4 linked regions of the Caenorhabditis elegans genome follow. The protein of the gene in region 2 interacts with the protein of the main gene of each other region in a pairwise test. Each region holds a gene or a part of one and is shown on either strand. Other genes may lie near its edges.

Region 1 (10,438 bases), on a different chromosome or scaffold from region 2:
ACAACTGGAAAAAAAGAACTTGCACTTTTGCGCTTCGCTGCCTAGAATGGTGTCAGTGAGATGGATAGGATGGACAATAAAACTAGGAAAAGTGAGAGGAAATGAGAGGAAAATTAGAGGAAATTGTTACGGATATCAAAGCCAACAGTTTTTTCACTGCTAAAAAGTTGAAAAGGCAAGGTAAAAGTAGGCTAAGCTTAAGCTTACCAATTTGACAATGTTACTTATGAGTGGTTATTGGTCATCTCCAGAGAACTTAGAGTAATACATTGGAAGACTTATTTTTGAATATTTTTCCGACCACCAGTGTTACAAGACCTCCCGTATTATTAGAACACCATGATGTGTAGACCACACAAAAATAATCATTCAAAAATTCGAGCCCTTTCCAGCCGACCCCCTTGCCCTCAACAAGAACCTTTACATGCTTCTCCTCATTGTTCTTTCGTCGCTCCTTTTGATTCTTTACCTATCTCCCCACTTCCAGCACTATTTCCATCCCAAGCCCCTCCCACAGTCGTTTTTTTTTCGAACCTCTTCTCATTGTTGCGAAAAGCCATTCATTTTGTGTGGCGCAGCATCAGGCAAAGCAGCACTTTTTTGCAATGCAACACTCTGAATATCCGTCAAGGGAGTCGACGAAATAGTGTGCGAGACGAAGAGACGCAGACACGGAAAATTGCGAAGAACTACGATTGGAAAAAGCGAATAACAACAGCCGTTTTTTATTGGGCCGCCCCAATTTTTCTAATGGGTGGCCTGAAGACGGACGCCCGGCGCGAGGTCGGAGAAGATAAAAGGACGTTTGAATTTGGACGCCCGGACCTCCCGATTTATGAGACCTTTTTGTACGGAGGTTGTCTCGAGGGAAGAGTTTTAAATTTCAAGGATTTGATCTTGCAAGCGCTTGGGATTTTGAATGAATGAAAAAATTGGGTGGAGGCTAGAAGTTATCAGAAAAAATGTTCAAATTTTTTTTTGAAATTTCTGAAAATCACTACCGTAATTTCTATACTATCAAATGCTAGCCAATATCTGATTTTTTGTCTGCTGTGTAAAACGACAGGCAATGATTTTTTTAATCGAAAAGAGCAAACCCTCGAAATAGGCTCCACTTACGCAACAAATCGTTCTCTTATTTCGCTTCGATCGACCACCAGTATTTAAAAGATGGGTGGTCTAGATCTCACAGAAACCTGCACTATTTCAACAAGATAAACACGACGGAATGTTCGTTCACTCTCACACTTCAGCCGTTTTTTTCCTACGAGCGAAACAATCAGCGGGGCGGGTAGTGAGCGAGTTGAGACTGTCTAGACTCGATGTGGTGATCTCTTTGGAGTACAGAGAATGTTCAGAGTAAATACAGTCCATTCGGCAACATTTGAAAACAAGAATTTAGTCAAAATTTATCAGCAATTCCTTTAGAAAGTTGGTTCTCAAACCTAAAATTTTTTAACGACATTTATAAAGTGGAACTGGAAATATCTTTGGTTCGGGAAAATTTGAGAAATTTAAATTACTGAAACTTTAAAAGTCATATTGAAAATTGTTATCCATTGCAGGTCAATAATTTTTGACTGAAACTTCAAATCTTGGTAATTGAAAAACGGTTTGACTAAATAGTGAGTCACTAGAACTTTGACAGTTGGTAAGACAGTTTTCAACAAAACTATTACTTTTCAAAGTTTTTGGTAGCTTCTCTCGAAAACATTCCTAATATATTTTCAGGTCCAAATCAACCTTTACCAAAAATGTTTCCTCTGTAATTTTCTTGTCAATCCCACTTTGTTTCTACCGCTTCTTCTCCTTTCCATTTCGAGGACACAGTCGAGATCAAATGTGTGCGTTGAAACTGCCAATTTTCATTCTCTCTCTGCTAACTGAACACAAGACCTGAAGGTGCTCATTAGGCGAAATTGAGAAATATTGGATTACTGTAGGCTTAGATATGTAATCAATCTGAAACTGGTGACGCGGGTGTTCAGAAAAAAAATTGTGGTTGGGTTGGGGGGTTAAGATTCAAATGAAGAAATGAAAAAAGCTAGTAAAAGCTGAAAGAAAGTACTTAGCTTATGAATATTAATTAGGTCACATGGGAGCAGTTATGAATTTCCAGTCCTAATTTTTTCTACAGCCCGGTGCCGGGATCTTGGCCCTATGGACTGAAAAAAAGCTCAAGAATTGTATTTTTCCTCGAAAAAAAAATATAATTAAGCTTTCTATATAGGCTCCAAGGTTCCAACTTGTGGATCCATAATTCTAGACATAGTTTCAATTTCCTTTAAAGCAAGGTAGGTCACATTCCAGGAATGTTTAATAGTTTTCTAAAATACAGAAAAGTCTAGAAAAGCCTACCCAACGAATGATAATAAAAGTTCGAACAAAACCTATAAAAATTGAGTTACAGGAAATAAAATAAAAAACTAAAAGTTTGCAATTTTCTCTCGTCTCTTCTCTTTCCATGATCACACGTACTTACAGGTGTCCCCAAAAAACGCAGAGATCACACGATTCGCGGAGTGTCAGCCAGAGAAAAAATATGTCGTCGCGAGAACTGATAGCGGTGTCCCCCTCCACCGCCATAGTCTCGGGGCGCCGCTCCCTCCCGATATATGTTTGTCTGGCGTCTCTTACCAGGTTTTCTCACGTTCGGCGTTCTCTAATTATCGTCGTGTGAGGTCTTCTATCCAATCGCGGGTGGCATCAGTCGCCAAAAAAGAGGCGGCGCTTCGTCGCCGCGACTCTTTCTTGCTGGGACCCGCCCCGTTTCACAGGAGGGGAGTGCCTATTACTCCCTCTTTTCCTTTTCTTTTCGATATTTGAATGCTATCGGTGCTCTAGGAGCTCGATCTTGACCCCTTGTTGGAGGAAATTGTACTTTTGGGTAGGTGCTTCCAGTCGATTCAGAATAATTTTTTGGGGTTTTTGAAAACAGTAAAATTATGTGAAAATGTTTCCATCTTTGCGTCTACAATTTGTGGCTGACTTTCCTAACAGTCTACTCTTTGAAATTTTTGAGAAAATGGCTTAACAAAAACTTGAACATTTGATCTGATGTACATTGTAGAAATACTGTAGCTCCTGACTTGTCTGTTTGTCTTGGTTTTAGTCTCTACAAAAAATTATTTCTTGATAAAAACCTCTAATTGATTAAAAATTGAACCTTTTGTAACACGATCAAATGTTGCCAGTTGCAATTAATCGATTTTTGTGATTTTATAAAGTTTGCAGTTAGGTTTGAAAAACTTCAAACGTATTTTATTTAGAAATTTATTTGCTCTTTTTTTCCTTCAAGTCAAATAAGCAATACGGTTCTGTAAATTAATAAAACTTTGTTGCCATTAAATATTGAAATTCCATGTATATCCGTTCTGAAAAATTCTTTATAAGAAAAAATTTCAAACTGGTTTTTAACATTTTTAACTATTGCAGGTTTAAAAACATACAGTAGCCCAACTTTATTCCACATTTAAAGTCACAGAATGAGCCCAACGTTGAATTGAACATTTAGATTATAAAAACGTATTTTATATATGTTTGAGCTATCTGTAATTTTTGAAGAAAAAAAAACTGGTTTCAAAGCTCTCTAAATTTTCTGTTTTAAATTCTCAAAATTCTTAACATTATAGGAAAAGAAAATTTTTTTACTTTACTTTGAAAATTTTTTTAATCCGAAAGATATACACTGGAAACTAGAAAAGATACAGTATTACAAAAAAAATTCGCATTACCAGCTGCTCCTTTAAAAAATTGAAAATTTGTTCCGATGCAAAGAACAATATTTTTGGCGAAAAAATGTTCTTTCTCACAAAAATCAGTCTTGAAAATTTGACTTTTCCACGACATTTTCAAAATTTCGTAATTATTTTATAAGTCAAGATTAGAGTATAGCAGTTTCATATAATGCTTATAGATCCCTCTTTTTAATTCCCTAATTAAAAATAAAAATTTCAACAAAAACAACTAAATTCATAATCTGAAAAAATTTTGCAGAGGAGCTCTAATGCTCACCGAGGATCCCGTATCGGAGATTTGTGAGGCGAAAGCAGTCGATGAGCTCGCCGAGCAAGAAAAAAATTATTATTGTCAGAGATGTTTAAATCATGGGGAGTTGAAGCCAAGGAAAGGTCACAAGCCGGATTGTAGGTGAGCAATGGTTTTTTTTGCATTTTTAAACTACATTTCATCTGAAAACTATTTTGTCATTCCATGTTTCTCCCTCATTCACCCTTAATTATATACATCACGTTTTAATGCTTAAACTCTTGAATTTTTTGATAATTTTGGGTCTTGCAACGATAAAAAGTTAACAACTGTTTAATGAACTTTTTGTAACTTTTGTTGTGCCGAAAAAGTATGTAGTTTATCCATAAATACTCCAAATTCCAAATTTTATCTCAAAATTGTCGCGTCACCGACCTTATTCACCCACCATCAGTTTTTTTTTTCGCGAAGCCCTCCGACAAAGACACCCGTAAAATTTGAGATGTTCGTCTACCGATTACGATCGGGCAAGAAAAGACGCAAAGCAAGAAAAAACAGCTGACCTTGTCGATTTAAAGCGAAAAATACCACCCATACAGGTGAAATTGTTATTATATGAGTGAGGGGGGTCAAAAACGAATTATTATATGGACGCGAAAAACGGAGGAGAAGAATGGGAAAATGCAAAGAGGCAAAAAGTTATGTTTTATACATTAACCTAAACCATTTTGAAGGTGGTCTAGGGATACTGTAGATGTTTCACCAAGGTGAAAGATGACTCAAAAAGATCTTGCAATGACGACAATTATCACTAAGCTAAATTGAAGATGGATTAGCGAAATCTGGGAAACATTTTAAAATGACTACAAGAGTTTTTTGAATACCTATGTGAAATTTTTTTAATTCCCTGATTTCGCTACTACACATTTAATAATATGTATATCAAGGTGTGTTACTCTTTTTAGGTTTTTTTAAACGCTCGTTTAAAGAATTTGTACTTCTCTGGTTTAAATATCCAAAACTCGCCCGAAACGACCGAATTTCATTATTAGGCTTTACAAAAATAATATCTATCCGGTTAAAAATTAAAAAAAAAACTAGTGAAATTCTGCCAGCTTCTTCTTCGGTCGATCATTTTTTCCAATGTTTAGATAAATTCAAAAAAGCGCTTCTTTTTTTTCGAGATATGTTTGGGAAGTTACATCATGAATTTTGGTTGTTTGGGATCAGTTTGAGACAATTCAAGCAACTAAAAATTTTTCAGCCTTTTTTATTATTTTTTTTGGAACCGAAAATTATTAAAAAATTATGTTTGCTTTTCATTCAAAAATCTTCATTCATTTTTTGACATCCAATCACACAGATACACTCACTTTTCAAACAAACCATTCCACAATGACCTATACAGTCGTAAAATTCCTCACCCAATTTTTTTTTTCTCCCAATTTTTTCAGTTCATATAATTTTTAACAAAAGATAGGGCCTATCTCTATTGTGAAAAGTCTAATAAAATATTTGAATGGGTGGGCGGGTTACTGTACAACTACAAAATTCTCCCGTCGATGACACCAAGTGGCACTGAAAAATAAACAAGACGAACATTTTACAGATATCTAAAATGTCCATGTCGAGAATGCACGATGGTCGAGCAGCGAAGACAGTTGAACAATTTGCTAAGCAAAAAGAAGGTGAGTATTCTATAGGGATTCTATGGTAGGTGTGGCTGTAGGTGGCTGTGCCTTACCTCATTCCTGTCTGCCTACATTTCTGTTTCGCGGTGTAGGCGGTCTTGAAGGTTGTATGTGCGTTCTCACGCACTTAAATACCACATCTTATCAGTTCACCAAAAAATCGCAACTTCAGATCAAATCTGACATTTTCAAAATGAAAAGTGGGTTGACGTCTTGGCTTTTTTCTCTTTTTGTAAGAAAAACAATTGAAGATACGAATAGATAGAGTGTGAAAAGCAAAGAAAAAGTGAGAAAAAGATTGATTTTATCGGATTTTTTTAAGGGTAGGTATATTTTTCATGAAGTTGTTCTTTTTCAAAAGGGGCTCTTGTTGTGGCAAGTCACATATAGGTCATTGCCTGGCCATCTATAGGCGTACCTACCTTATTGTTTTATTTCAGTTATTTGTTGAAAGTGTATTTTTAAATGAGAAAAATGCTCACTTTGGACCATGGGTATGCGTGTAGGTATGAGGCAATTGTAGGCTGCATTGACTGCAAGCATTCTTGAGCCTACTGAAAGTTTATACCGAATTTCTTGGTTATTGTTTTTGTGATTGCATTAACTCCTATAATATTACTGTGAAAATAAAACACTTTTTAGCGGGACCCCTTATAAACCTTTCCAAATTTCCAGATCCACTGCACACCGGCAACTCAAACCCGTGATGGGAAGCGTGTCCGTGACCCACACTGTGCTCGGTGCTCGGCTCACGGAGTCCTAGTCCCATTGCGGGGACACAAGCGGACAATGTGCCAATTTGTGACATGCGAGTGTACATTGGTAAGTGTAATTATACTGTCATCATCGGCAGTCAGGCGCCCTTGACAACATTGCAGTTTTTATGCTTTTCAATGTCACCTGCGCGAAGAAATTATAGGATTATAAAAGTACTGTAGGGAAATGGGGGAGTGGCTTGCCAATGAGATTTGAGAATGTGACTTTTTGAAACATTTTGATAAGTTTCAACTATTTCGAAGTATTTTTAATGCAACAGTGCTACGAATTGACTTTTTAAAAATTGTTGTGGAGCAGGCAACTTGGAGCATGCTCTTGGACTGACAGAGAAAGTTGCCACATTAATTTGTGTGAGATTTTTGAAAACGCGTAAACAGAACTACGATTTTCGAGTTTAAAAATATTATTTTTCAGTGTACTCTTGTGGAACACCGTCGAAATCTTATGGCGGCTCAAATCAAATTACGCAGATCACAACAGAAATCCCGAGATGGTAAAGAACCAAAAAGGAACTCTCGTAGAAAATCGAAAGATATGGATATGGAGATGATGGTTGTCACAGCTACAGATGGTCAAAAGATAATTGGTAAGCTATGGGATTTTGTAGAAGTGTGTAAATTGAGCTTTAAGTCAGAATCACAAAAATTGGAGTCTAAACCTGAAATCCAGTCGGAAGTAATTCTAGAGTTGACGGTACGTATTAACGTTATCAGAAACATAGATTTTACCATCAACTCATAGATTATATAAAATGGCTACTTGTTATTTCCAATTTTTCGTACCGAAACAATCAAATACGGGAATATCCAAACGCATCAATAAACAATTACGAAAGTTAAGAGGTTAATTTCAAATATGTCTAGAATCTCAAATTGGTACAACTTCTCAGTTATAGAATATGTCTTTCTGCTTACCTATCAGGCGGGCCCTGCCCTGAAAGTTACTTTGCCTTAAAGATAATTACCACTTAAGCCAATGTATTTTCAAAATTCAGGGGAAGACAAAAAAGTGGTAATTTTGATGCAAATATCAACGCAGACAGTTAAAATTTATATTGTAGCTTCAAAGAAATTAAATCTATAATATTCCAGGAACATCAGCAAGTCCATCTCCATCCTCAACCACTGATACAATGTCCCCATCCCTTTCAATGTCTCCACCATGCTCTCCATCTCCACTTCTGGCTCAATACACTCTGACGCTGGCTGCTCCGATTCCAATCTATCCGCCGATCCCAATGAATCAACAATTGATAAGCTTGCAACAACAACAGTTCCTGATGAGCATTATTCAAAATATGGCTCCATCAATCGGACAACAGGCTCCACTCCTTCCAGGCATTTCTGCAGGTTCTGTCTCATCGGCAGCAATTTTGAATGAGTTCTGGAGTATGTATCTGAAAAATTATGGTCTGCAAGCCTAAGATCTATAATTTTGACCAATTATTGATTTTTAGAAAAATTGTATGTTTCCCTTCTTTGCTTAATTTTCCACACAATCTCTTTTTATCTTTGGTTTCAAACTCAATGATTTTTTCATATTTTCTTGAATTTTCACTTTTTACCAATTTTGTTATATTTTCTAATTTTTTCATTCATTTTTCACCAAGTGAACCAACCAATTTACCGATTTTTTTCTCGTCTTCAAGACCGCTTGTGTTATTCCAAAAATCCCCATTTTTTTTAAATTCAAATAATCTTTTCGTCTCTCACCAAACCACATACTATCTTTCTATGTCTCTTCGCCACCTAATCATGTCATCAATTTCTTCGAAAATTCCCAAATTTCACCGATATTCTTCCGTTTGCATCGATTTCCCACTGTCCCCGCCCAAATTGAGCTGAGCTCCGCCCACACTTTCCCAGGATTACTGTATTGTTTCTCGCTCTGCGTCTCTCATTCTCGTTCCCTCTCTCTTTGTTTTATCTCGGAAAATAGGATCAAATCCTAAACAGTTAACCGGTCCGTTTTAGACACCCCCGGTGGTAATAATTTTGAAAAAAAGTGAAATCATGTTTTTTAATGTTTTGGTTTTAAAAAACCAAACATTTTTTGGAGAGAAAAATGTATAGAACTTCCAAACATACAAACACACGACGCATCGAGTCTAATAATTATTGATTTATTTTTATTATTTTTGATTTTTCAATAAACTTTTCATTTTTAAATCGTCTTGGTTCTGTATGCAAACTTGATCGTACAGCAATTTCCAGAAAAAAAGTTGGCGGCCGAGCTTTCTCTTCCGCGGCCATGTAGAAACCCATAGACAAGGTCTTAGCACGAATGAAACTTTTCCGTTACCGTACCATAGGGTATTTCCCAATTTCTCCTGTTTCAGAAAACATATTTTTTTTAAATTTAAACTTTCGTTGCTTCTGAGTTTTTAAAAAGTTTTATTTTCAGTTCTCCCAATAAAAATGTATTTATTTATTTAAAAAATTTAACAACGAAAAAAAAGCTATACCGCTCAACACCGAAAAGTTTGCGAATACAGTACTCCTTAAAGGCGCACACTCTTTTGTCCTCTGAAAAATTGATCGTGTCAAGACCCGGTACCGTATTTGTTGTCTAAAATTTTAAAATGTCCGTAATTTCCATCCATTTCTGTCTCATTTACCAAGAAAAAAACATCACTAAACCACATGAATAAGAGGGCTTTAACCTCCCGATGAGATGGATCGGGGGTCTCAACGCGAAACAAAGGTACATCCCAGTCAACAGCAGCCTCAGCAGCACCAAAAAAACGGTCATAAAATGGAGATTGCCGACCGACCGACCAATTCGAATCGGTTTTGCGACGAGGACGATGCCATTCGGAAAACGCAACGCAAACGAACACATTAAACCGAAAAAAAAACATTTGGAAAGGTCGGATTCATTCTGTGAGAATCCACGTAGCTTTTCAGGGGGACTTTGTGCTGAAATTCTTTTGAAGCTTGAAAATTTCCTCCATTTTGTGATTGATCATTCTGTTATCAATTTCTTTTCCGACTGCTGCCGCCTGATTGCATTCCTTGAAAATGTTGCGAAAATCTTGAAAAAGTGCAAACGTAGTCAAAAAAAAAGTCGCAACATTTTTCTTGTTCACAATCTTCAACCAAAGTCAGTACACATTGGGGGTTTTGTTTGATTGGCAGTTTGTCAACTTACTGATAAGACGAACGTCGGCGGCTCGCGACGCGAACGACATTAAAACGTCTAAAACTGCATGTGCTGAAATGTACGAAAAAGGGCGGAGATCGGTGGGATGGTGGTGCTGGGAGGTGCTCGTGGCACGAGATGAGCACAATGAGCACGTCTAGACTGAATGGGTGAAGGGGCACTATATTGGGAAGGTTCCGAAAACTAGCAGATTCCAAGTATAAGTTCATAAATCATCTCAACAAACTCAACAATTGAGATATAGAAACAAGCATTATTGGTGTGGTAACATAACAATTAAAAAAGAAACGAACAAGGAATACGATGAACAAAAACAAAAAAAAGACAGAAAAAATGTAATTGTTGATTAGAGACGTTCTGCTCCACGCGATGCCATGTTGCGAAGACTTCCGTACACTTTTGATGGGTTCGAACCTGAAATTTCGTTTTTAAATAGTTTTAAGTTTGATTTTTGATATTTTTAAATATCTAAATTTAGGGGCATATATCTTTCGATAGTTTTGCAATGTTTAATAAAAATGCACTGTAATATTTGGAAGAATATGTGTTTGTGAGACCACAACACCTCAAACTGTCCATCATCATTTCAGCAATAGAAACCGAGTGCAACGACCTTTCTCTTTCTCCTTCAGGAATGCAACCACGATGTGTTCGTGCGCAGAGAAAACCCCATCCCGAATGGCATTTCTTCGCTTTTTTTCTATATTCTTCATCTTCATGTGCGCACTGAATTTGTGTACAAACACACATTTTCATGGCGTCCCATCAAATGTGACACGGTGGTATTGGAAAGTGTATGTATACGTATGAATGTGTTGCCG
Region 2 (6,941 bases):
ATACACATTTCTCCCAAATTAGCATCATCTTCATTTTTTATTCATCCGGGAGCTCATCGGACAAAGGAGACGACAGGTGTATACGTGTATTTGTCAGTGTGTGTGTGTGTGCTGAGTGTAAATTGAATCAATTGCCACCAGCCCCCTGAGCTAATTCCCTTGTAATCTTTTTATTGAGAGCAGCAGTCAATGATACATTAGGGGTGGTTGACGAGCCACATCATCAGATCACGGATCGGTGCGCAGAACATCATGATTGTCTCCGTTGTGGCATAAAATATGGGAAGAAGATCAAGTGATTGTAAAACAATCATTAGATTATCTTATTCTACCTAATCCAGAGGTTGTTAAAATAATACTAATTATGAGGTTATAATTTTTATGACCCCATCGACGGAACCAAATTCATCGGAATGGTTGCAAACTGTGTTTTTGGATGTGTTCATTCACAATTCACCCCACTACCGTTCACGGTGTGGTGTCCAATTGCTTTAATGACACCGTTCCTTCAAAATCCTATTTATTGGCGGTAGACGATTACCGTACTCGTCTCCTTTCTCCCCTGTCTATTCTCGAATTAGATGTCAAGTGGGTTTCAATGTGTATATGTGGGTGTGTGTGTGTGTGTGTGTGTGTGTGTGTGTATGTACACGACCAATTTGTCTAAAGACGAGAACGATGATCAGGATGAGGGCCTGGAGTTTCTCAAATGCGAGATTTCCACTAAATGAGCCTGGTTTTGTGGGCGACGAAAAGGGGAAACATAATAGAAGAGGAGCGTGTTACATGGAATTAGGCGTGTTAGTTGTTAGTTGTCACTGAACCGGAAGAATGCACACTTCTTGCGTGCTTACACAAACATACCACTAGCCTAACACACTACCAATTACCAATTATCTTAAGCTTACTAATGAACGACACTTGTGCTCTTCCGGGGACAAAATTGAAACAATGAACTGTAGAATGGAAGCTGCTATGATTTTTTATCCTTAAAAATTTATACCATTTCAGCAATATGAGTTAGAGAGAGCAATTATATATTGTTAAGTCAAATGTTATAAATTGAAAAATGTAGCATGATAGTAATTCTTGAAAATTTTCTAATTTGAAAGGCATCAAAATATGTACTATCGACTATTTTTTCTAGGTTCACTTTAAAATTTAAAAGTTCACAAACTTTAATTTTATTATCAAGTTAACAACAAATTTGTATATATTCGCGCCTGTAGCAAGCATTTTAACTGAGATCGTGGCGAGACCCACTCAGAAAAACAATTTGTGCCTTTACTATGAATGTCAAAATTTTGCTAAATTACTACATATCATTTTTGAAAAAAAATTTTGGAAAATTTTTATTGCGAGAAATGTTTATTGTTACTGGTGAAAACTGAGTTCGATTCACACAAAAGTACCAAAATTTCCAATTTCTATTTGAAAGGTTTTATCATGATCTTTGGACATTTGAACACCATAGAAATAAGTTTTACTAATTTCTCCACATTTTTTGAAAAAGTGAGCTAGGAACCGTCTGTCAGGTAAAGGTATTTGTCGAACAGGTGAGGTGTTAACGACGCCTGCCAAGTATTCTATCTCACATATTTACCTCTTCCGTCGCGATAAAATCAGAACGGTTGCGCCACTCGCCAACACCTGGCGCTTCTGGCACGTCTTGTGTTCATTGTATTTTTGAATGCCCCACCATCTCCAGTTTTCTTATCAGATTTCGGAAATCGTCATCATCCACGAACAGCATAATAAAATAATAATATTATTATTAATGACGTGGAAATGACATAATCAAGCAAAATAAAAATAACACAAGCGATACATATGCAATGTTGTGAAAAAAAGAAAGCGTCTTCTCCCTATCTAACCCATTGAGATCGGTTTTTGTGACTTTAATTGAAAATATTACATACAAATTTTAAAAATTAACACAAGAAATACTATTCTGAGTTGCTGGAAACATCCAACTGAGGGGATTCACTGGATATGTGAGTGGATGGAGAATTTGAAGAGGAGGAAGGCTGGAAAGCATGGGCTGGGGGAACAATCATAGACATGGGTAGGCCCATCATCGGTAGCTGAGTGCCCATAGGTAAGGCTGTGATATAGTTGGCCCAATATGGACTGCTTCTGATCAAGTTCTGAACTGCGGAGAGGTTTCCAGGTTCCGATAGAAGATCCATTCCACTTGTTGCCTGTCGCTTCCATTTTGTTCTATAAAAAACATTAAGTAATTTGAGTAATTTGAATTGCCGTATTTTGTTCCACTAGACCGGACGTCTTCACTTTTCACATCTTAATTTTTGAGTGTCCCGTTATTGTAATAATGATGTTTTTATGTCGCAACTAGATATATTATATGTATTAACCACCACTTGACTATATTCGGATTAATTCAACGCTGCCGAACCTTGGGACCAAAAGCAGGTGATCTGCCTCTTAGCGGACTCATACGCCTCATTATTGTGCAAAAGAGCAGGAGACCACCCCGGCGATAACTACACAACAATAGCGACGTTTTGAAAGGTTTTCCAGATTGTGAATGCATGGATACATTTCAAAAGAGGCACAAATTCGTCTATCCACTTCATTCACCAATGAAACCGATACTAAAAGCTGGTGAAAATTTGATGATGACGACGATGATGATGCTCTGATGACAAGTCATCACATCAAATATTCACATAGAACACCGCCGCCTTGAACAATAATTAGGAAATGTGAGCGTGGTTGGTGTAGTAATCTACAAGGGTGGGCTCAATTGGCGGCTACGCTTGTTATTAATTTGAGAATGTACATATGTATGTTAAGAATTGACTCTGCTACCAACGATAATTCCAACGATAATTCCAACGATAATTGAAAGACGTTATTACTAACCTTCTATTTTGGTACCACGTCTTGACTTGAGTATCAGTGAGACCCATTCTGTGCGCCAAATCCATCCTGTCCTGGACTGATAGATACTTTTGCTTTTCAAATGTATTCTCCAACTCTTGCAACTGCTTGTCAGTGAAGATGGTTCTTGCCTTCCGAGATTTTTTGCAACTGCCTGGACTACCCATTCGATCGCCGCCGGGGCTGCTTGCTCTTGGCGAAGTTGAAAAATCAGATTTAATTGATTGTGGCGATGGGTCTGAAAGTTGATGGTTATTGATGCACAAAAAGAACAAAACAAAAGATTGACCCCGGAAGAGAACTGTATTCATATGTTCATTAAGGCATTAATCCTTTTACCCCCCCCCCCCCCTACATTCAAACTATCATTTCCGGGTAGTCACCATTGAGAGGAGAAAATCGAGAGCATGGTTGAGTAAATTTTTGATGGGTAACGCGCCGCGCACAAAACTTTTAATGGCTGTCGTTTTGAATGTTTGGAATTTTGGAATCAATTGCAGGTGTAATGACTTACCGTGATCGTTTGAATGGGATGAATTGTTTGGGGATTGCTCGAGAATGTCAGAAATGCGGAATGAAGAAGAAGACGAAATTTTGTTGCACGGGGAAGTTGAAGCTGCTTGAGCTAGAAGTGCTTGTGTAGTCGGATCCAGATAAAAAGCGGGAAGCAGAAACTGCCGAGGGTCGAGAAGTGACATTTTGGGAAGTGAGTGGTACTGTAGAAAAGTGTTAAACGAATGCTTTGCACGTTCGAAAGTCGGGAATGCGACACTGTTGAAGGCACCGATGATTGGTTATTGTCGGACGATGAGGGGTGACTATAAGACAAGTTAAATGTGCGAGAGTGGGCGGGGCGACGGCCTGGCAATTTGGGTGAGAGAAGAGGGTGCGTTGACATTGGGAAGGATGATGCAGCAGCAGCTACCACCACCGCCCTCCTAAACATGGTCATGACAATTACACTCGATTTTCGAGATCCAACGCCACATGAGAAGTCAATTATTTGTATTTAATAACACGAAATCTATAACTTGACCTTTCATTTTGCACATCTCAGATGATGCGGGGGAAAATGATGGCGAAAATGAGATGGGGGAAGATGGTTGGGAATAGCTGCACACTGCGGCTAATTGGAGCAACCTGTCAAACGGTGGTTCTAGGGAAACATTTGATGAATTGTCAAACTTGGAAATAAACAATATGGAATATTATTCTGCCAAAGCTGGATATCGAACTCTAATTTTCAGGTTGGTGCTCGAAATGTTAAAGTTTCATTTTCACAGTTTTTCACTTACTTGCAGAAAGACCATCTTACTAATCTCCATATATAAGCTTAGTCGGTTTGTTTTTCACAAAATCGACAAAAGGTTACTCAACGTATTTTTCGGCAAAAAAAAGTTATAGAAGTTACGGTAAATTTTTGTTACGAATCACGATTTCAGTAACCTGTAGAAATACGGTGATTGTTTTTTATTTAATTTCAAATAATTTCAATCATTGTTGTAAACACTCTGTTTCCTTTTTTTCTGAATGAATACATATTTTTGTCGCTTTTCTCAAATTAGTTCTGTTTATAGTTTCATTTTCCCCCAAAACACGTAATGTTGCAATAGAGTTTCAGAATAAGGCCACTTGCCGATATTATGAACAATCTTCGCTCTGTCCTTGAAACAATGCATTTTCACATCTTAACCAGACACAAAAATAATTTGAAACTGCAAAAAGCGTTAAAATCCCATATTCGGAGTGACAAAACCCATGTAATTAACATCCACCGATTCCTATATTTCGAAGAGAAATCTACTCTGAAGTGTCGATTAATTTTGCATACTAACCGTCAATTACAAAACAAATAAAATGGTTTTTTGTTTCGCGATTCCAAGCCGATTGGCATGGAAGGACATTCAGCTAATTTTCGACCGCCCAGCTATGTACATAGACATGTTTCAAAGTCATTGCGTTCCTCATTCCGCCAGCAGTTGTTTTATTTGATAGTTCACATAAATCATTCTCATTAGCTCTTTCTTCTACTTATATATTTGCTACCTTGGTAATGTTGAGAAACAAGATGATCGTTCCGTCCTTGTATATTTAGAAGAGGTGCAAAAAGCGGAGACACTTTCAACTCAACGTAGCGTAAAATATTGGGCGCGCAGGAAGATTGACTGGAAAACGATACAGTTACAAATTGAAAAATGGGAAGTTGAAAAAAAAAGGAAAATTGGAAGTGGAAATGAAAATGCATTAGAGATAATTGTCATTTGCCATTTCCCCCACTCTTAATTGTGAACATACATCTTGACACCCAGTAACAAGAAAAAAGCTGGCAATATGAATATGAGCTTGTTTAGGAGACAGAAGCCGCCTTTGAAATCTCCCGGGTAAGCAGGTTCTATTACATAATATCGTATCCTTTCCATACAGCTCATTACAATTGCCAACATAAATAATTAGATTAAAGGACACTCCCGGAAAGGTGTCGCAGACCGGTGGGACCAGCACACACGTGGCTGCTCTATTGTGTTCTGTTGCGCAATAGAGACGCTTCTTTTTTTTTGACAATGGCAATTGAGACCAGGTAAACGACTCCTTCAAGTGTGTGAAGCGGTGTTTATCAAAGCCACCCGGCAATTGTGTCCTTTTTAGGCACCTTTTTATGTGACATGTTGACTTATAGCTTGCACCGATCAGCGGCAGGTTAACGAATACAATTGATGGAACTGCCGGAAGTGTCAGGTTATGGATAAATTTGAAGAGTTATATAGATAGTTGGAAAGATAAAACGCTGCTTTGATAAACATGAAATTTATTTCAAAATTCTTATTACTTAAATATTAAACATATATTGGAACTCGTTTTGAAACCATAGTTTCTAAATTTATTCATTAACAAATTAACTTCTAACAGTGTTAGTATACACGTGGATTTATCTGTGAATTTTGGACAATTCACTGGATTCAATTTTGAACGTTCAGGCAAAAGGTTTAGTCATATTTAATCGTATTTTATAGTTCTCAACTCATATGTGACTGATGTGTTGTTTCTAAGCATTTTTTTATTTATATTGTTTTCAAATTGAAAATTTAATTTTTGCAGTGAAGATAATGTTTTTGCAAAACTAACTTCCTATTTATTCATTGCACAAAACACTTTTATAATCAAATTTTGTCTAAAGCACAATCATGATCATAATGGCGCTTTTTTCTAATTCTCTTTGGTCTTTGAAATTATAATATTTAACTTGACAATGCGGTTTAACTATACAATTAACTATACAATATACAACTACATATACAATTATACATTTTTAAAATTCAAGAAATAAGTGAAACTCTTGCCAAACATAGTTTTATAAAATCGCAAAAATCATTTTGTTTACATAAAATTGGAATTGAAAACTCAAAATGGCTATTGATTTTCCTGAATTCTTCAGTCAAACGTCAACAACCATAATTTTTGAAAACTAGACTATCAAAGAAATTTTGAGCGTTTCAGCAAGCTCGTATTCCTATGACTTTTAAACACAATTTACTGAAATTTTATATTTTGATCTGTATATTCAAACTATTTTAATTTGACTTACATAACAAAAATTAGTGAACACAGATTACCGTATTTCTTCTACTTGTCTTGAACCCTTACGGATCAATCGAAAATTAGTCTTGCATGAAAGACTAACAGAGGAAATACGGTAGCTACCACTTTTTGATAGCAAGTACTATAGAATTTAAAAAAGTGTTCAAAGTGATAGAATTTAAAAAAGATATAGAATTTAAAAAAGTGTTCCATTTAAATAATCTCCTCTCCGATAAAAATCCACTTTAAACAGTTGTTTAAAACCTAGTAAACGTTCATTTTTTTAAAGCGTTATTTTCTCTCAATTCCTTGAACATTTTTCATTTGATTATATATATATATATATATATATATATATATCGTAGAAATCGGTGGAAAAATATATTGCGAAATACCAACTGAAAACAGTCGACCATAATTCCTCTGTTGTCAAATTTTGTACAGCTGATTAAACTGTGCAT
Region 3 (7,399 bases), on a different chromosome or scaffold from region 2:
AGAAAACTAAAATTTAATAAATGAAAGTATCATAACGATGAAAGTGTGCATGTAATTTCCTAAAAATTTGGTATTAAACTAAACTCGAAGCATTTCTATAATTATTTAAATGATTGGAATTCAGTACGATAAAAACTAGAAACAATGAAATCCGATAAGATTTAGATTTAAATATGCTTAAACTGAAAACAATTTGATCTCTTTTAAACTTAGAAATTGATTATTTACCTTAGATTTGTCAGTACATATATCATGAAAACGAGAGTTTTCAAATAAATTGCTATACTTTAATTTCAAATCAACAAACGTTTCTAATGATTTTAAATGTTGAAGAACATGACGTAAATTTCAATTTTGGCTCATTTCGGAGAAGTATGGGCGATGATAGTTGATTTTTAACAGTTTATATTAACAAAATGTGTAATGCAAACCGATTTTTACAAAAATTAAGGTCGGGAATTCATTAAATAAAAATTTAAAGTAAATTTTAAACAAAACGTGCAAAAATTAAAAAAAATAAGACGCAAAAAATAAAATACGAGCAGCGTCAGAACGGAGTATTGTAGTTTTTTATGTCTGTGTCTCTTCGTCTTGCGTTGTGTTTCGCAGATAGGTCACTGTACTTTTTGAATAATTTAAGTAAATAGTGCTAAAAGTGTTCATTATTTACAGAAACTAAATCTAATCAACAAAACAGATAAAAATTAGTATCCAGGAGCAGTTCGTGGAGGTGGGCAGTGTGAACATTCTCCCTTTGCTCCCAAAGGTCCTTGTGCTCCAGGTTCTCCATCAGCTCCAGGTCCTCCTGGTGCTCCATCAAATCCTTGGTCTCCAGGTGGTCCTGCTGGTCCCTTGTTTCCTGGTCTACCATCATTTCCACGTGGTCCTTGCGATCCAGTAGCTCCAGGAGCACCACGAAGACCTGGTGGACCTGCTTGGCCTGGAATTTCGTTAACTGTTCCGGGCATTCCATCGTCTCCACGTCTTCCAGGTCGTCCATCTTCTCCATTTGGTCCACGTTCTCCCTGCTCTCCTGGTCTCCCGCATCTTCCATTTCTACCAGGCATACCATCCATTCCAGGTCGCCCAGAATTACCCTGAGGACCTGGATTTCCTGGTGGCCCTGGTGGTCCTGCTGGGCAATCAAGCTCAATTTGTGATCCATCAGAAGACGATTCTCCATCCAAATCTTGCCCATCTCGTCCAGGTTTTCCGGCTGGTCCATCTATTCCATCTCGTCCTGGTCGACCTGGGAAACCTGCTGGCCCAGCAAGACCAATTCCACAGCTGCAACAAGAATCGGAAGAAGATGAAGAAGAAGTGGATGCAGCGTCGTATGGAGATGGAGCTGGATGACTTCCAGAAGCTCGAGAGGGGGAAGAAGCTAATATTGAATTAGTTTCAAAAAGTCCCACAAAAGTTACAAGTTACCTCCATATCCAGCTTGTCTTTTTACTGGCCCTGAACCAACAGCCTTCGTTGATTCATACATATTTTCCAGATTCTTAGCCCCGTCAACACAAAATCCAACCTAAAAATGCAGAATAAATACCAAAATGTGAATAGAAATCACTTGCATCAGTTTGAACAGAGCTTTGAATATATTGTAGATATGTGTAAAGCCCAGGAATTAGAATAATGCACATGATTCCAGAAGCAGCACTGAAAATTTCCAGCTTGTACTATTCTGCCACGTGGAAATCGGAACATACCTGACAACAGTCGCCACGAAAGCAACTTTTCGAAGTTCATCCTCTTCAGAATTCACTAAATTCTTCTTCAAATTCATTTCTTCTTCCAATCACCTAATCATTTTCAACTGTGTTTTATATCATTCACGCTTATCACTTTACTGTTTTATTACAATCCTACAACGGATAGAACACGTTAAAAAATAAGGATAATTGATAGCAAGTCAAAGATAACATTACACATTATTAGTGGAATGGTTCAAAAAACATCTGGAAAAGGGAGGTAGATGTGATTTAGATTGAATCGTAGACTTAGGATGAGGTTTACATTGGGTAAAAACCAGTTTCGATGGAGAAATGTCACAGAAAATATTTAATGAGATAGGTGGAGAGTGGAGGAAATTTTACATTTTACACATATAAAAAACAATCAGTATTCGGTTAAATTACACAGCTTGATCATCCACATACATCAGTCGCCAACGGCTTGGATTTGAAATGTCGAGCAGGAAGAATTGATTATTGTCCCAATTATTCAACATGGGTTGATTGAACATTACACTGATCTTTGGTGAAATTCCGAAAAGAAGCATTCCGATACATTGTTGACCACAGAAGTCTTGAAGTGCCTCTTTTAAGTGTGCTTCATCACGGAGATTGATTCTCATTGGAACATAGAGATGCTCATCTGTTCCATCATTTTTAGAAAGGAAGAATTCAAAATGATGAGTCGGAGTCGTAGTAGTTCTTGGATATCTGTTCGGTTCTCCTTTCCACAGTTTTCTCAATTTTCTGGCAAGCTCGAAAGTTGGCTGGAACATCGGATCTCTTCTCAAATCATGTTCTTCATTCGTCAAATCAGTAGCTTTTCTTTTGATTGCTGGTTGTCTATATGAAGGTGAGTCGTAGTTCTCTGTTGGAATTATTAGTGGAGCAATTGTGGCGGTCTGCAATGGCTTAAAAATTATTATAGAATAAACTTTCAACACTAAGTTGACATACCAAGTTTGGAGACATATGCTGTGTGTATCTTTCAGGAGTGAATTGTTCGTTTTTCACCATATTTGACATCTCCGTTTTAATATTATTTAAAAATGGCATCTGCGCAAGGAGCATTGAATGAGACGTCATTGGAGCAGTGGCCGAAGTTGACTGGAGAAAAGACGCGACCCCAGAAGATGTGGGTATTGAGCCATTCTGCATTGCTTGCGCATAAGCTGCTCGAGCCGCCACAATTGATGATGCACTTTGTTGCTTCTGTTGTTCTTCTTCTTGCTGTTGAACGAGCCTCTTTGCAGCTGCTTCTCTATCCGCAACTTGCTTTCGGATCTTTCTTCGTTGATTTGGATCAGCAACATTTCCAACTATGTAGACACGATTTCTTTCGATATTCGTTGGGTCCAATCCATAAAGTCTAACTTCTTCATCTATTGGTGCACTGTGATTGTGCTCATGGATAAACGTGAGGATCTTTTCAGTAACAATATCCGTATGCATTCGTGCTTTACAAGTGTTCTTGTATTCACATCTCCAGAAATATTTCTTTTGACATGATGAAAGCTTGTCAAATGTCATGAAAAATCCGTTTGAAAACACTTTCAGACGAGTTTTCTTTGGGATATCAGTACGTGGAGAACCTGCATCTCTTTTAGCAACCGCAGTGGATCCATTGGCGAGAGCGGCGGTCAATAATTTTGACATGGTGAGGCCTGCGTTGTCTCCGAATCCACCGGCACTGGCACTGGCAAGAAGTGCCTGTAAAACAGCGTTGTTCTGAAATAACAATCAAATGAAATAACATCTTGGATAGAGGAAACTTACTTTAATAACGCTAGACATATCAATTCCGCTCGCGAGCAACTGGTTAACAGGAGCAGATGTAGATGCTTGGGACACAATCTCCATTGGTACAGCTGTGACAGAAGTCGATGGTTCGGAAGTTTCGGCTTCTCCATCATCGGATCTAACTTCAGGAGCATCCGCAAGACTTGGAGCATTAAGAGAAGACGACGACGGAGGGGATGGAGAAGATATGTTGGAGTTCATTCTGAAATTAATAAATTATTCTAAGTTACATGGAAGATAAGACCAATTGAGTGATGAGGTTAAAATAGGAAGTAAAAAACTATGCAGCCAGACGGTAGACCAAAATCCTATTGGAATGACATATTTGTAACATTAGCAGCGTTCGGGGGTCTAAGTCTCTCAACCCAACGGGGAAAGGGCGGGACATTATGGTCCCTTCTTCTGCGTCTCTCTGATTCATTTGTTGTCTCTTCTAATGACGTGCGCGGTCAGCCGCTCGCGGACCGCGTACGCGCACTCTTGGGTCCGTTCCACTGTTTACACCAAAGAGGTCCTTCGTGGGAGGGCAATCGCAGCAAACGGGAGCAAAAAAAGACGACGGCATGGAGGCAGCGGGGACAGATGGTGACGTTGGATTACAGTAGATAGGGCGATGTTGGGAGGGGAGAGAAGAACGCTAGACGTGAGAAAAGGGAGACATGTAGGATTAACAATAGAGGCAAGCGTTTTTTTATGATTGAGCAGGAGCCTTACGATTCTGGCGAATACATCCTCCGATATTAGATAATTGGAAGACGCCGTCCTGAAAATAAATTTAGATTTTATAAAAATTTCGAATAAAATAGATTAAGATGGCAACGTGTGTAAAAAAACAAATACTGCCTGTAAAATACAAAAGCGAAAAAAAAAACGATTTTTAAACAAATGTCTCATAGTTGAGAATATTTTGATTTATTTTTGGTTTTATTTTTAGATTTGGCAAAAATAATTTAAAATAATCCAAAAGGAACTTCTGTTTATTTAGGTTGGTTTTTTAAGCATTTGAGAGATTATAAGAATAACTTTCGGTTTTCTTATAATTGGAAATTGAAAATTACTATTTTAACGATTTAATATGAAAAGAAATTGCGAGAAACACAGATCTGTCCAGAGAAAAAACAAATGAAACGAAAAATGATGAACAGTTATGCGCGTGGACTACTGTCACTCATTGACGTTTTTTGTGCAATAACGGCTACGATAAATTGCGTATCACTGGAAACTTATTTGAACAGGCCTAAAAAACAAAATAGAATATTGCATGTTGCTTTGGTGGTCCACGAGGTTGTGAAAATGGAAAATGAAATATCAATAAGTCACCATATATATTTTTTACATAGTTGCAGCAGTTTCAAATAGGAATTCATCTCTAATGGGATGATGCAAGTGAATTTTTCTACATTTCTCAACAATTTATTTGCAATGCAAGTAAGCAGCGAAATGACGCGAAATTCGCAATTTTTTTACATTTATTTACATTTCTCTACATTTCTCGACGTGGGAAAAAACACTCATTTTTCGTCAAAACCACGTCTTTAGTTCATGACTTTACCTTCCCAGACGTTCACGTTTGTGAAAAGTAGTGTAAAATGGGAAAAATAAAAATAATTTGAGAATTTTAAAAGATAGATGCGTGGTCATTCAACGTGGTTTTGAATTCTAAAATTTAAAAATGATCAAGTTTGATTTTTCAAATTTGGCTGTTTTGCAACACCACGTTGAATGGCCACGCATCTATCTTTTAAAATTCTCAAATTATTTTTATTTTTCCCATTTTACACTACTTTTAACAAACGTGAACGTCTGGGAAGGTAAAGTCGTGAACTAAAGACGTGGTTTTGACGAAAAATGAGTGTTTTTTTCAAATGTCGAGAAATGTAGAGAAATGTAAAAAAAATGGCGAATTTTGCGTCATTATGCTGCTTACTTGCATTGCAAATAAATTGTCGAGAAATGTAGAAAAATTCACTTGCATCATCCCATAAAAAGCATTTTACTAGCACATATGAAGAAAATAACATTACAATATTATTTGAAAATTCAGAAACGATCATAATCTCTTCCTCTTCTAGCCCGTACGTGGTTTGGCTTTGGTTCTTTATCAAAAAAGGGATGCAGCCTTTTCGGCTCACAGTTAACAATTTGGTGTAAAATCCACTTGTTGCTTAAAGTATGCAGCCGAAAATATTCAACAGAATCAAATCTATCAAACATTTTTTGAAAATTAACTTTTGTTTATGGGGTGCTGAGATGTATACAAAATTTCGATCTGAAGAAGAGAAGAAATGCATTTTAAAAGACCTCAGAAGTCATGGGAACATTAATATTGTGTGGAAGAGAGCTTCATCAACCGATGTGAGTGCCACCAAACAAACGAATTCTTTTCTTGGAACATGATATATTTGTGGGAGTCTTATTCGTTCTTCTACTGTATTTCTCGATGGTTTTATGGTGTTCATCCAACTCTGAGCAAAACCAAATCCCATTGTAATATTATCTTGTGCTCGCTGTGACCAGTGCTCTGGAATTCCCCTTTTTGGGCTGTTTGGAGGTACTATTGGATCATATTCTTTAGGTTCTGTTACAGGAGACCTTGTTGGAGACGGTGAATTGTGACGAGACTGTGTTGGAGTTTTTTCTTCTGATGACAAAGGAGATGGAGGATCAAATGGAAAGTACTGATGAATGCGAGAATCCTGAAAGAGAACAAAGGTTGCTCAGAGTTCTCATTAAAATTCAAAAACTGACCTTTCTAGGAAAAATTGGTGGAACTATGCATGAGCGTCTTCTAGGATTACTGTATGGACTGGAACGTTGAGATGTATCATTTCTAAGAACATGCCGCATGTATTGTCTTCGTTTCCTTTTGGAGAATCTCTTACAGGTCTTGGAACTCTTTCAGTTCTTGGGGGCGTGACCATTAAATTTCGGAAAAATGGATGAAGATTACTATGATGTGATTCTTCAACTGTTTCATCTAAACTCTTTGTATCTTGTTCTGTTCGTACTTCATCGTCCACAATGCTCTGTGATCTTCTTCTAGGAGTACTTTGATTTGACATTCTGAGAAACTCAATATTCGATAGATTTGTAAACCGTATGAGGCAATTTAATATATGATAAGAACTTAAGAAAAACAAAAAAGGTAACAGGATACATAACAATTCATATGCGTAAAGTAAAAAATTTGGTTTTTACCAAATATATTTGGAAACTTTAGAGAGAAGCAAACGCCGAAGTAAAAAATATTTCTCCGATTTTTTTTTTCAATTTTTAGTTGATGAGAATTCTCAAAAAAATTTGAAAAAGTTTGATGATTTTGAGAAATGGAGGATTACCTGTATTTTTGAATGCAATATTGACTTCGTAAATCAGGAGTGGTGAAAGCTAGATATTCGCTACTTTTTAACTGTGAATTTTTGCATTTAAAATAAAATTTCCTAGAGTATTGAATGTTTTATTGGCCGTTCTACATACATTTGGATAGACTGAATTGGGAACTTTTCGATTTAATAGTTTCATTTTAAAAAAAGAAGTTTTATCCTTTGAAGTACTACTCTTAAGTTTTGTCTTACTCAAGACAAGAAACATCCTGATAAAAGAGTAATAAATAACTAATCGATTAGAAAAAATGCACTGTGTTGTCCTTGGCGACTCATTCAATGGTCCCGTTGTGCATCTTTTTTCTGTCTATGATCTCTCATTTTAACACACTATTTTGTGAAGCTGTACGTGATGTGGAAGGCCATCAAATACCAGAATGTTGTATGGAACACAACTACTTTGTAGGCAATTAAACATTGTGTAAACTTTCCAATCTGTTTCTGATTTTTCAAATTGAAAAATACAATACTTCAAATAAT
Region 4 (6,772 bases), on a different chromosome or scaffold from region 2:
TAGTTCTAATGGTCTCTTGCACTTTCATCTTTTGGAATTTGATCTCAGAACAAATTCTCAAATGGACAAAAAAATTCTAGAACTTTTACCTAATGGATGAGAGCGTTGCAATGTTTGTAAACTACTACTACATTGCCTATGTGATTTTCGCGTTGCCATTGAATTTTCTATTGATTTTCCTGATTTGGTTCAAGTCGCCGGTGTCTTTCAGCGCGTATAGGTGAGTTTAGGTGCCGATGAACATTTTTTAAAGCCTATTTTCAGACTACTTCTGCTCTACACCAGTATCAGTGAGACTTTTCTCATCGTTTTCTCGTTTTTGTTACAAATGAGGTGGGTTTTATAGCAAACCGGCGGTTAAAATTTGAAATAAAAGGTGTTCTGGTTCTCCTCATATTTCGAAATGGAAGAGTTTGCCAAACTAGGCAATTTCGACTCAGCCACGGCCAGGGTAGATTTACGGCGCGTTGTGTGTCGCGTCGCGGCTCGGTTTTAGTTGTAAAACTAAATGTGTTTGTCCGTGTGGAGTACATATCGAAATTAGGCAAAACGGGAGGAAAAAAAGATTAATTTCAAAAAAAATCAGTACAAGCGATACAGTAGTAATTTAAAGAATTACTGTAGTTTTCGCTACAAGATATTTTGCGCGTAAAATATGTTGTGCAATACGCATTCTCAGAATTTTGTGTTCTCGTAATATAAATAGAAATATATAAATTTAACAAAAACTACTTGAAAAGTCGACGAAAATTTCGCATCAAAAAAATTTCATGTTATCAGAATTTCCCGATTTCCAGAATCATCAGCGCCGGCGAATCGGTCGCCTTGGTACCATATGGCCCTCTTCGGCATGCGTCTCCTGTGATTGCCTTCATAGGTTATAATTTTTATAATTTATTTCTTTGCACCACAAATCTCTCAATACTATTGTCCATGTACTATCGGTACTCGTTGATTTGTCACGGAAAGTGCGAGAATTTAGCGTTGAGTCGAAATTTCGGAGTAACGTTGGTGATTTCTGTTGGAATGCTGGTAAGTGAAGAGTGTTAGCCAAGATATGGGCGTGGCCTAAAATAATCTTGAATGTTTCTTTTGGTTCAAATTTTTGGGTTTTCTTGTCCTATTTCCTGAAACGCTTAGGAAGTAGGAAATTTCCATGATTTTCTTCTCAGGGTTTTCATCAAGACTAGGCCTAAGCCTACGCGTAAGCCAAAGCTTAAGCCCAAAAAACCTAACCCTAAGCCTGAGCCCGAGCCTAAGCCTGAGCCTAGGTCTAAGCCTAAACCTAAACCTAAGACTAACCCTAAGCCTGAGCCTCAGCCTGAGCCTGAGCCTGAGCCTAGGTCTAAGCCTAATACTAGGACCACTTTCTAAATAAATTCCAAAATTTTCAGGTAGCAATTTTAATTCCTCCATACGACTTCCCTACAGTAACCCTGAACACGGAAAGATCGTATCCCAACTATCACCTATTAGATACTTTCGGCGAATATGGAGGCTTCAAGTCGACAACTCGGCTGGTTTATCTTATCAATACCACAATTCTCATGGGAATTCCCTACATGATGCCCGTTTTCATTCTGTACTGGAGACATCAGATCTTCAATCAAATCAACGAAGTTCAGACACATTTGAGTGAACGAACCAAGAAATCGTCGTTGGATTTGGTGAGGGTGAGTGGTAGGAGTAGGCTTGCCTGCCTAGTAGGTAGGCAAACAAGCAGGCAACTTTCCAATTTTTCCAGGCACTCACAATGCAGGCAATGTTCCCGATGGTATGCCTTCTTCCCAATGTTGCATACTTCCTTGTGGCGCAGGTGAGATAGGCAGGCAGGCAGGCACGCCTAGCCCATTGAAAAATTTCCAGCGAATCCACATCGAGTTCGAGATTGCCGAGTTCGTGCCGTTTCCAACCTGCGTCATCCCGTGCCTCATCGATCCGATTCTAACGATCTACTACGTTGCACCATATAGGAGTTTTGTGACGCGGCGGCAGAGAAGTGTCTCGATTGGGGTGACGTTGTCCGTGGCGCAGTCTTCCGCGAGGACTATTTGATTTTTTTTAAATATTAATAAAGTTTATTTCAATTGTTATTTATGAGACACATAAATAGTAATCCAGGAGATCAGTGCAGTACAATATTCAAAGGGGGAGAAAGGCAATAGGTAGGGGGTATAAAAATATTACAAAAAATTCACAAACTTTGGAATTCATTTTTGAGCTCTTGTGGTTGTCCTGGCATCATCATTTGCTGCTGTTGCCACCAAAACTCGTATTGTTTTTGATAATACATATTCCAAGCTAATTGAGCATTATTTTGAACTTCGAAATTGTAATTCTGAGCACTTGCAAACTGTGGCTGGTAGTTCTGCGGAGCCACAAAATTCTGGTTGAAATAATACGGGGTTTGCTGTGGGAGATCTATTTGCGGTGAGATTGTCGGTGGGGTTACCAATTTGCTGCGTTTGGGCGGAGAGTTTTCAGAATTTTCAGAGTCTGAAGAAAGCCGTCTCTTGCCATTCGAACGAAATCCGGATGCAAATTTATTGTGATGAACCTTGAGGTTTTTGAGGATTTCGTTCTGGAAAAGGGTACAATTTTGTAGAGAATATATGTATGTAGTTGGTGAAAAATTTCTAGTTGTGGGTAATTGAATTTGCTACATTTTTTTATTTTTTAGTTGACAAAATTTTAATAGCGTAGTTTCAATCCGGCACTTAATGAAAACTTAATGCTTTTTCCGAAATTGCCATGCCGAATAAATTTACCGAATTTGACGTGCTCGACAAATATTTTGAAAAAGTCGATTTGCGGCCTAAGCTTAAGCCTAAGACTAAGCCTAAGCCTAAGCCTAAGCCTAAGCCTAAGCCTAAGCCTAAGCCTAAGCCCAAGCCCAAGCCCAAGCCTAGGGCTAATCAGTGATGGGCAGCGAACATGCTTTCTTGGCGAACGACGAATTCGGCAAATTTGTCTATGCAGTTTTTTAAGTTTTCCAGGTTTTTTCTGAAGGTTTTTTCCTGTATAATGGCGTAAGCCTAAGCCTAAGTCTAAGCCTAAGCCTGAGCCTAATCCTAAGCCTAAGCTTAAGCTTCAGCAAATGGCAACTTTCGGCAAGTTTTTCAGTATTTTTTTAATTTTGAATTAGATGCTTTCTATATGTCTACATTTATTTTTGATTTGAAAAGTTGGAATAGCGCTTCGAAATTTACAGTTTTGGAAACTTGAAAATATGCTCTCCAACTTTAAACTACTTCATCTCCGTTGATAGTGACGCGATTAAAATGTTTTCAACTTTTTTCAACAAATTGTTGCAAATTTAATTTCCCACACCCTTTCAAATAACTAACCTGATAAGCAGTGACCACCATAAATTCAGTAGCCTCCAACCGGAACTGCTCCCCACTAAAATCCTCTTGATACCCTGTCTTATAATGTCGGACCTGTTTAACAGTGACCACTGGAATGTGCTTATGCATACTCTGCACTAAAATGACCTTCTGATCCTTGATTTCCGGGTTATTCGTGATTTTGATGTGAGCAAACGAGACGGGCTCACTCATCCATTCTGCTCCAGTACGCTTGCCACGCGGATGCTCCTTGTATTGGATTGGAAGAATCGGATCTCCTTTGGCGAATTCTTTCCATTCTCCTGCGTCGAATTTGTATCTGGAAATGAGTTCAAGTTTTTGAAATTGGAATCGTCCTATAGGTTATAACTCTGAAAGTATACCAGCTATCAAAAAGTTGTCAATTTAGAAATTGTAGCAAATTTAATTTTCTACAATTTACCAGTTGAAAATTTTTTTCTATCTTTTAACCCAACTCACTTAATCCCGTCAACACGTTCCAAATGAATATAAATCGAGTAGAGACTGCCTGGATCCAATCCCTTGATGATATAGTCCAAATGCGGAAAAATCACCCTTCCACGGTTTCTCGTCACAATCATTTCGGTTTTCGGGTAGAACTCTTCCCAAATTTCTGGTGTGCTCAAGGAGACTTTAATTCCGGATGGGGAGGTGCACGAGTACATGGTAATGCTGTAACAGGGGGAGTTATAGGAGTAACAGAAGCACAAAAAAGTGAGACCGGAAGTAGAGCAACAAAAATCTAATTGTAATAAAAGTGCTAACCACTCTCACTAATTCTGTAAAACTGAGCCGGTAAGTGGGCGGAGCCGGAAGGGGCTGGGCCACACGTAGGGGTGGACACGTGGCAAGTGGAGCACAACTTGGCACATATGAGCGTGTGGCCATGGGAGATGTAGCGCACGGCGGCCTTGGGTGCAGGCTTAGGCTTAGTCTTTAGGTTTAGTCTTAGGCTTAGTCTTTAGGTTTAGGTTTAGGCTTAGACATAGACATAGGCTTATGCTCAGGCTTAGGCTTAGAGTTATGCCTAGGCTTAGGTTTAGGCTCAGTCAGGCTTCTGCTTGGGCTTAGGCTTACAATTAGGCTTAGGCTTACACCTTTGAACAAGAAAAAACCTTCAGAGAAAACCTGGAAAACTGGAAAAACTGCATAGGCAAAGTCGCCGAATTCGCCGTTCACCAAGAAAGCCTGTTCGCCGCCCATCCCTTATTAGGCTTAGGCTCAAGCTAAGGCTTAGGCTTAGGCTCAGGCTTAAGCTTAGACCTCAGCTCAGGCTCAGGTTTAGGCTAAAGCATAGGCTTAGGCTTTTTGAATTCACACCAATATAATAATGACCTAGAAGGATCACACGCGAAGTATATCCAAAATAACTGTAAAATCGGAACACTCATTAAACTGCGAGCCAATGTTGGTGTCTGATTCTTGAACACCTCTTCCTCCAACTGAGCATCTCTATGGTCTTCAGCAATCTAGAATGTGTAGTTCACACTTCAAAAGTATACCTCCACCCACACCTTGACACCTCACACTCTAGTGATAGCGGTGCGCAGTTTTGAATTGGCTCGGAAGGAGAAGATGTGTCGGGCTCAGCGGGAGGGCTGGTGCATTTTGAAATTGGTTAGAAACACAAGAAATTGATTATAAAAATAATTTTATATTTTGTTTTTCATACATTTTTCAATAGCTTCATACTTAAACGTTACTATTAAATGTACATTTCTTCCAGTAATTTTTACTGCAAATATGAGATTTTTCAAGTAATAATAACGGTTCAAAAACGGTTCGAAACACTTGGCAAAATACTTTATAGCAAAGTATAAGCGGCACATGTCTTTGAGCCGTAACACAACTCTCTGCCATGTATGGTACGCCACGTGGTTTGGAAAACGAAAGACACACGATATTGTGGGAAACTTGGAGGACATCTGGAAAATTAAAGAAAAAAACAATATCGATTAGGAATTTAGGAATAGTTGGAAAACGATTTACAAACTTTTTGATAGCTTTGATAACAATTTAATCACGAAAATTATAATAAAAAATTATTGAAAAAAATTTACAAAAAAAAAAAGAAATTTTTCGCGTCAAAAACAAAAAAAAAAAAAAAACGCTATAAAAAAGTTGTCAACTATCAAAATGTAGAACATAAAATTTACAATTTTTGGATAGTTTACAACTTTAATAACAATTTAGTTACGCAAGTTTAAAACAATTTAAAAATGTTCGCGTCAAAAATAAAAACAATTGTTATCGCAATGGTCAATCAATAAATCATCAAAATCAATAAATCAATAGAAAGAAAATAAATTCATTAATTGATAATTCACACTTCAAAGGGATCAATTTGAATTGAAAACGAAATGAGTTCAAATTCTTCGAATTCTTCAAATCCTGCTGCAACAGATGCTCCAAAGGTAAGTGGAAATTCAGATGATTCTTTAAAATGCCTCTACCTTTTCAGAAAACTTCCGTTGAACCGGGTTCGGAAGCCAACAATTGGCATATCACGGAGGCCGATGAGAAGGGATTCAAGTTGACCGATATGATCAAGAAACTTCTGAAGCCTGTATTCTCGAAAGCCATTATGTTTGATGTAAGTAAAGGAGACTCTATACCGGCCTGCCTGCTTCACCTGTGCCTGCCTACATGCCTTCCCATTGCCTATCTGAATCATCCCTGCATATTTACCTGCCTGCCTCATACCTGCCTAAATGTTTAACCACTGCATTCCTACCTATTCTCTACCTGCACCATCCCTGCGTTTCTAAGCGGTTGCCTGCCTACCTACCCACGCCCCTGCCTGTCTATTTGCCTCCATGCCTACCTACGTTCCTAATGTCTTTTTTTCAGGAAAAAGAGATCCATGTGCTGTTGACACGTGTCTTCAAGTACTACACATCTCCACCGAACAAGAAAACTGCACCATCTGCTTCAGCATCTGCAACCACATCTATGAGCCCTCCAAAACCGGCTGCAAATGCTCTTTTGGAACTTCAAGCTCCGATCAACATTTGTGGAGATACCCACGGGCAGTACAACGACTTGCTTCGTATTTTCAATGTAAGTCCTTACCTGCCTGCCTACCATACCAACTGCATGTGTGCTAAGCTGTTCTATATGTTCCCTTTCAGGCCTGCGGAGCAGCGACAAAAACTCAATACCTCTTCCTCGGGGACTACGTGGATCGTGGAGGTCACTCATTGGAAGTCATTATGCTTCTCTTCTCACTCAAATTGGCAATGCCCAGAAAGATGCATTTGTTGAGAGGAAATCATGAGTTGAAGGCCATCAACAAGTAAGCACATGTTAGTAGATCTGACACAAAATAATCTTATTGGTAACAGAAACTACGGCTTCCACGCGGAGCTCAAGAAGCGTTTCCAAAGGGAAGAAGTGTATGAATC

The links.
Region 1: the proteins of ceh-30 (region 2) and mab-3 interact in a two-hybrid assay, tested with the Caenorhabditis elegans proteins (one large-scale study listed by BioGRID).
Region 3: the proteins of ceh-30 (region 2) and flh-1 interact in a two-hybrid assay, tested with the Caenorhabditis elegans proteins (one large-scale study listed by BioGRID).
Region 4: the proteins of ceh-30 (region 2) and tbx-38 interact in a two-hybrid assay, tested with the Caenorhabditis elegans proteins (one large-scale study listed by BioGRID).

Annotation. Positions count from the first base shown.
Region 1 is NC_003280.10:9,729,416-9,739,853, forward strand, and holds mab-3 (Protein male abnormal 3), read left to right. Parts: upstream 1-2,815; 5' UTR 2,816-2,887; intron 2,888-3,996; 5' UTR 3,997-4,006; coding exon 4,007-4,149; intron 4,150-5,595; exon of another isoform or gene 5,596-5,596; coding exon 5,597-5,675; intron 5,676-6,353; coding exon 6,354-6,500; intron 6,501-6,869; coding exon 6,870-7,041; intron 7,042-7,546; coding exon 7,547-7,878; 3' UTR 7,879-8,620; downstream 8,621-10,438. Other genes in the region: RNA-binding protein pno-1, read right to left, coding at 9,964-10,031. UniProt on the Caenorhabditis elegans protein: Transcription factor which binds the DNA motif 5'-[CGA][TCA][TA]ACAATGT[AT][TGA]C-3', probably as a monomer.
Region 2 is NC_003284.9:3,060,367-3,067,307, reverse strand, and holds ceh-30 (Homeobox protein ceh-30), read right to left. Parts: upstream 3,735-6,941; 5' UTR 3,603-3,734; coding exon 3,419-3,602; intron 3,143-3,418; coding exon 2,887-3,142; exon of another isoform or gene 2,682-2,886; intron 2,574-2,681; exon of another isoform or gene 2,424-2,573; intron 2,421-2,423; exon of another isoform or gene 2,275-2,420; intron 2,221-2,274; coding exon 1,947-2,220; 3' UTR 1,757-1,946; downstream 1-1,756.
Region 3 is NC_003282.8:9,259,965-9,267,363, forward strand, and holds flh-1 (FLYWCH transcription factor 1), read right to left. Parts: upstream 4,300-7,399; 5' UTR 4,268-4,299; coding exon 4,251-4,267; intron 3,739-4,250; coding exon 3,513-3,738; intron 3,465-3,512; coding exon 2,694-3,464; intron 2,648-2,693; coding exon 2,138-2,647; 3' UTR 1,844-2,137; downstream 1-1,843. Other genes in the region: col-120 (Nematode cuticle collagen N-terminal domain-containing protein), read right to left, coding at 705-1,384, 1,432-1,531, 1,578-1,662, 1,713-1,789; Y11D7A.19 (NADH dehydrogenase [ubiquinone] 1 alpha subcomplex subunit 13), read right to left, coding at 5,846-6,232, 6,285-6,383. UniProt on the Caenorhabditis elegans protein: Probable transcription factor. Binds to the DNA sequence motif 5'-[AG]GGCGCCG-3' in the promoters of target genes, including micro-RNA genes, in order to repress expression, and acting redundantly with flh-2.
Region 4 is NC_003281.10:11,782,020-11,788,791, forward strand, and holds tbx-38 (T-box protein 38), read right to left. Parts: upstream 4,043-6,772; 5' UTR 4,034-4,042; coding exon 3,828-4,033; intron 3,806-3,827; exon of another isoform or gene 3,726-3,805; intron 3,667-3,725; coding exon 3,348-3,666; intron 2,582-3,347; coding exon 2,195-2,581; 3' UTR 2,063-2,194; downstream 1-2,062. Other genes in the region: srd-74 (Serpentine Receptor, class D (delta)), read left to right, coding at 93-220, 265-333, 798-1,032, 1,395-1,673, 1,745-1,816, 1,867-2,055; C24H11.1 (Serine/threonine-protein phosphatase), read left to right, coding at 5,729-5,782, 5,830-5,961, 6,219-6,428, 6,500-6,663, 6,713-6,772. UniProt on the Caenorhabditis elegans protein: Transcription factor. Required for mesodermal induction, acting redundantly with transcription factor tbx-37. Together with tbx-37, acts by inducing cell fates in the AB lineage, thereby playing a role in development of the anterior pharynx.